2 linked regions of the Saccharomyces cerevisiae S288C genome follow. The protein of the gene in region 1 interacts with the protein of each later gene in a biochemical or structural test. Each region holds a gene or a part of one and is shown on either strand. Other genes may lie near its edges.

What was found.
Region 2: the proteins of SOD1 (region 1) and YFH1 form a complex in vitro, tested with the Saccharomyces cerevisiae proteins (one study listed by BioGRID).

Annotation. Positions count from the first base shown.
Region 1 is NC_001142.9:621,899-625,022, forward strand, and holds SOD1 (superoxide dismutase SOD1), read right to left. Parts: upstream 1,117-3,124; coding exon 652-1,116; downstream 1-651. Other genes in the region: CTP synthase URA8, read left to right, coding at 1-592; ADO1 (adenosine kinase), read left to right, coding at 1,683-2,705; ECM27 (Ecm27p), read left to right, coding at 2,940-3,124. UniProt on the Saccharomyces cerevisiae protein: Destroys radicals which are normally produced within the cells and which are toxic to biological systems.
Region 2 is NC_001136.10:243,746-246,947, forward strand, and holds YFH1 (ferroxidase), read left to right. Parts: upstream 1-2,177; coding exon 2,178-2,702; downstream 2,703-3,202. Other genes in the region: ubiquitin-specific protease UBP1, read left to right, coding at 1-1,236; EXP1 (Exp1p), read right to left, coding at 1,388-1,837; HEM25 (Hem25p), read right to left, coding at 2,944-3,202. UniProt on the Saccharomyces cerevisiae protein: Promotes the biosynthesis of heme as well as the assembly and repair of iron-sulfur clusters by delivering Fe(2+) to proteins involved in these pathways.

The sequences.
Region 1 (3,124 bases):
TATTGAAGGTATGATTCTTGCTGCCAAATGGGCCCGTGAATCCGGTGTTCCCTTTCTTGGTGTCTGTCTTGGATTACAAGTTGCCGCTATCGAGTTCGCCCGCAATGTGATAGGCCGCCCAAACAGCAGTTCTACAGAATTTTTGGACGAGACACTACTAGCTCCTGAAGACCAAGTAGTCATATACATGCCCGAGATCGACAAGGAACACATGGGTGGCACGATGAGATTGGGTTTGAGGCCTACCATTTTCCAACCGAACTCAGAATGGAGCAACATAAGGAAGCTTTATGGTGAAGTTAATGAGGTGCATGAGAGACATCGTCATCGCTATGAGATAAACCCGAAAATAGTGAATGATATGGAGTCTCGTGGCTTTATTTTTGTTGGTAAGGACGAGACGGGCCAGCGTTGCGAAATATTCGAATTGAAAGGCCATCCATACTACGTGGGCACTCAATACCATCCAGAGTATACATCGAAGGTGCTGGAACCATCAAGACCGTTTTGGGGGCTTGTGGCCGCAGCCTCCGGCACACTTGGTGAAGTGATCAAGGACATAAATCTAAGCGAGGGAAATGAAAATGAATGAATTGATGCGCTTACTACTTACTTACATACGGTTTTTATTCAAGTATATTATCATTAACATTAGTTGGTTAGACCAATGACACCACAGGCTGGTCTTGGACCGGCATTACCAGTCTTCAAAGATTCTTCAGTGTCACCCTTACCTAAGTCATCTTGGCCGGCGTGGATAACGACGCTTCTGCCTACAACGGAGGTAGGACCGATAAGCTTGATCAAAGAGTCCTTGAAGGAGCCCTTGGCCACACCATTTTCGTCCGTCTTTACGTTACCCATGTCACCGACATGTCTGACTTCGTCAGTTGGAGCACCATGTGTCTTCTTGAAAGGATTGAAGTGAGGACCAGCAGAGACACAACCATTGGTGGCATCTCCAAACTCATGAATGTGGAACCCACGTTCTGCGTTAGGACTGTTACCAGCGATCTCGTAAGAGACAGTGGTTGGCTCGGATTCGGAAGCCTGTTCGAACTTGACAACACCAGAGACACCGGCATCACCCTTTAACACTGCGACTGCTTGAACCATTATAAATTAATTATGTTTTATTTGTTTGCGCGATTGCTTTCTTGCCTGTTTTTCCGCAACATAGTTACAGCTAAACATTTGCCCAAAACCATCTTCTTATATATATATCTGCGATGGCGAGCCCAGCGGAAGGGATGTCCGCTTACTAATTCCGACACACCGGTTTAACCCCCCGGCGTGCTGGGGTGGGTGCCCCTAAGGGAGCGGGTTCTGTACTTCCAGTAAGCGGCATTTGCGCTGTCATCGCCTTATCGAACCCGCTACTGAGATCATGTCCTGAGTGGGTGAGTCGCACGCCCAATCGGCTGCACTTCAGAGATACTTACGTCCAATTTCGCATCATGCCAATATTACCTGTGGAAGTTGAAACTTTTTTTGCAGATGCCGATAATTTTCACATGGATGAGTCGCAGTGTCGTCGTACGTGATGAGGGCAGGCTTGAAAATTATTCTTCGAGCCCAATTCTCTTTACTTATAGGCATGCCATGTCTAATTAGGTAGTCATCTCAGTTTATCTTGTGCAGGGTAGAACCAAAGATAACAGCAAAAGAAAGAGCAAGCAATTATGACCGCACCATTGGTAGTATTGGGTAACCCACTTTTAGATTTCCAAGCCGACGTCACGGCTGAATACCTGGCCAAGTATTCTCTAAAGGAAAACGACGCAATTTTGGTCGATGCCAAATCAGGCGATGCTAAGATGGCTATTTTTGACGAGCTCTTACAGATGCCAGAAACAAAGCTTGTTGCAGGTGGTGCTGCTCAAAACACTGCTAGAGGGGCAGCATACGTTTTGGGCGCCGGCCAGGTGGTGTACTTCGGTTCCGTCGGTAAGGACAAGTTCAGCGAGAGATTGCTTAACGAAAACGAAAAAGCTGGTGTCAAGTCTATGTACCAAGTTCAAAATGATATTGGTACCGGTAAGTGTGCCGCATTAATCACTGGCCATAACCGGTCCTTGGTCACTGACTTGGGTGCTGCCAATTTCTTTACTCCAGACCACTTGGACAAGCATTGGGACTTGGTCGAAGCAGCTAAGCTCTTCTACATCGGTGGTTTCCACTTGACCGTGTCTCCAGACGCTATCGTTAAGTTGGGCCAACATGCTAAAGAGAACAGCAAACCTTTCGTGTTGAACTTTAGTGCTCCTTTCATTCCTCATGTCTTCAAAGACGCATTGGCCAGAGTTTTGCCTTATGCTACCGTCATCATCGCTAACGAATCGGAGGCCGAAGCCTTTTGCGACGCCTTCCAATTAGACTGTGCCAACACTGATTTGGAAGCTATTGCTCAAAGAATTGTCAAGGACTCTCCAGTTGAAAAGACTGTCATCTTCACCCACGGTGTCGAACCAACAGTGGTCGTGTCCTCCAAGGGTACCAGCACATATCCAGTCAAACCTTTGGACTCTTCTAAGATCGTCGACACCAACGGTGCTGGTGACGCCTTCGCTGGTGGCTTTATGGCTGGGTTGACTAAAGGTGAAGATTTGGAAACCTCTATTGACATGGGTCAATGGCTAGCTGCTTTGTCTATTCAAGAAGTTGGTCCCTCTTACCCTTCCGAAAAAATATCTTACTCTAAATAGATTCTTCTTACAATATAATAGAAATAAAATATACTCTACGTGTTCCCTCTAGCTTTTCATTCGTAGACATGTTTACCGCTTGTTCTTAAACCAAATAAGCCACCGTTACCACAATAAGGAAAAGAGGCGCTATAAAGTACAGCTTCAAGAAAAAAGGACAAGCAGCGCTAAGAACAAAATACTCGTTCATCCTCTCCACATACGGCCGTACACAAGCAACAATAACACAATAATATGGACTGGGCAATCAATGTCGCCCATCCACGATTACTTTACAAGGATCCTAAACTTTCAGTAACGTTTATTGTGCCGAGCTTATTTCATATCATTATTGCTTTCGTGTTATTAGGAATATGTGCATCCGATTTTCTTTGCCCCAACGTGGCCCATATATCAGATCCCAACAGCCTTCGATCGAA
Region 2 (3,202 bases), on another chromosome or scaffold:
TTATTTGGTCAGTTGAAAGAATTTGAAAAAAAACCTGAGGGTTCGATCCCAGAAAAGTTAATTAACGCTGTAAAAGATAGGGTCCATCAAATCGAAGAAGTTCTTGCCAAACCAGTTATTGACGATGAAGATTATAAGAAGTTGCATACAGCAAATATGGTACGTAAATGCTCTAAATCTAAGCAGATTTTAATATCAAGACCTCCACCATTATTATCCATTCATATCAACAGATCCGTATTTGATCCAAGAACGTACATGATTAGAAAAAATAACTCGAAAGTATTGTTTAAGTCAAGGTTGAATCTTGCCCCATGGTGTTGTGATATTAATGAAATCAATTTGGATGCTCGTTTGCCAATGTCAAAAAAGGAAAAAGCTGCGCAACAAGATTCAAGTGAAGATGAAAACATTGGCGGTGAATACTATACGAAATTACATGAACGCTTCGAGCAGGAATTTGAAGACAGCGAGGAAGAAAAAGAATACGATGACGCAGAGGGGAACTATGCGTCTCATTACAATCATACCAAGGATATCAGTAACTATGATCCCCTAAACGGTGAAGTCGATGGCGTGACATCCGATGATGAAGATGAGTACATTGAAGAAACCGATGCTTTAGGGAATACAATCAAAAAAAGGATCATAGAACATTCTGATGTTGAAAACGAGAATGTAAAAGATAATGAAGAACTGCAAGAAATCGACAATGTGAGCCTTGACGAACCAAAGATCAATGTTGAAGATCAACTAGAAACATCATCTGATGAGGAAGATGTTATACCAGCTCCACCTATCAATTATGCTAGGTCATTTTCCACAGTTCCAGCCACTCCATTGACATATTCATTGCGCTCTGTCATTGTTCACTACGGTACCCATAATTATGGTCATTACATTGCATTTAGAAAATACAGGGGTTGTTGGTGGAGAATATCTGATGAGACTGTGTACGTTGTGGACGAAGCTGAAGTCCTTTCAACACCCGGTGTATTTATGTTATTTTACGAATATGACTTTGATGAAGAAACTGGGAAGATGAAGGATGATTTGGAAGCTATTCAGAGTAATAATGAAGAAGATGATGAAAAAGAGCAGGAGCAAAAAGGAGTCCAGGAGCCAAAGGAAAGCCAAGAGCAAGGAGAAGGTGAAGAGCAAGAGGAAGGTCAAGAGCAGATGAAGTTCGAGAGAACAGAAGACCATAGAGATATTTCTGGTAAAGATGTAAACTAAGTTATAAATACGATATCCGTAATTGTGTAAATAACAATAACTATAATTAAATTGAATAATTAAAAGTCTACGTTATTCGTTAAATCAATTGTTTAGCTAGTTACGAATGTCTAAAGTTTTTGTAGGACAATTGCAAAAATCACTTCCATTATTATACAAATCCTTCGTAAGCTTCATTTTTCTTACCATTGTACTTCTTCAACTTTTTCTCTTCTTCTCTCCGTTCATCTAGTTCATCTTCGTTAATTAGGTCATCAATATCGAAATCGAAATCATTTGGATCTTTGTTGTACTGTCCAATTACACGTCTTTTAAGGCCTGTCTTTGAGTCTATTTCAAATTTTCTGGAAGCGGAAGAGGCACTTGCACTGTCATGGCCAAGGCTTTCCTCCGTGTCCTTCAGATCAAACTTTAATACATTGGTATGATCAAGTTTTTTTTTCAAATATTCCCTCTTACCAAGCTTACCAGTCGCTGACTGTGCTGTTGCAGACGATTTCGGTTTTGTTAGTTTGAATGTACCGATGCCAGAAAACAATGGCAACAATGCAATGAAAGCAATCACAATAATGAGAAGTAAAAAATAACCGTATAGATTCATGCTCCGGACTTATTGACTTAGGCACCGAGAACTTTAAGGGAATTCGTCCTTTTCTTTTACTAAACGTAGATCATGGGTGCTTGATTTAGAGATACAACTCATCGCACTTGACAAATTTCAAAAAACCGTATTCAGTGATCATATTTGAAAAGTCACGTTTCTTACAATGTCCACATAGCCCTATAGGATATGAGGGATTAGTAACCGTAAATGATCTCTTTGAATCGCATTTTTAATTGAAAGCAACCTCGCTTGAAGACACTTACAAATCGTTACGTACTACTGAATACCAGAAAGATAGTATTTCAAAAAAAACTAAGCGAGAAGATAGAGTGTAGCAATGATTAAGCGGTCTCTCGCAAGTTTAGTTCGAGTCAGCTCTGTAATGGGCAGAAGATATATGATAGCAGCGGCAGGAGGAGAACGTGCCAGATTTTGTCCAGCTGTAACAAATAAAAAGAATCATACTGTAAATACTTTTCAGAAGAGATTTGTAGAATCCTCGACAGATGGTCAAGTTGTGCCTCAAGAAGTGTTAAACTTACCGCTTGAAAAATACCATGAAGAGGCAGATGACTACCTAGACCATTTACTAGATAGCTTAGAAGAACTGAGTGAGGCTCATCCGGATTGTATACCTGATGTAGAGCTAAGCCATGGCGTAATGACATTGGAAATTCCAGCTTTTGGAACGTATGTAATAAACAAACAGCCTCCAAATAAGCAAATTTGGTTGGCATCACCATTGTCCGGGCCTAACAGATTTGACCTTCTCAATGGGGAGTGGGTTTCGTTAAGAAATGGCACAAAGCTAACAGATATACTTACTGAAGAAGTTGAGAAGGCCATTTCTAAAAGCCAATAAGTGCACTTATCCATCGACTCTCTTATATTTATTTAAACACTTGTAACGCATCCAATCTATTTCATAGTTAGAGTCTCTCTTCCTTGTTATTGATATGATTTTTCTTTTGTACCGTGTGTGTATGTATGTATGTATGAACGTACTACTAAGCTTCAACGTCACTCTATAAAGAAACTAAAAAGACACGTATTTATACCTTTTTTGAAGAATGCGAGATTGCAATGAAATATGTGTCTATTTTTTACATGAATCTTTTGACCAACTCCTCATATATACCCCACGCAATACCTGCACTGAAGGCCTTTCTTGCCAGCCTCATGCTTAACCCGCTAAATAACTTCAGCACATTTTCATTTTTAACTATAGATGTAAATGTATTGAAGGAGTTGGTAAATTTTGATGGTTCCAATTGCATTCTCGTTTTTATGGTGTCGAACGGTGCCGTTACTGTGGTGGCTAAACTGGCGGATAGTACGGCGCTTGTTGTATTTACTGTTGTA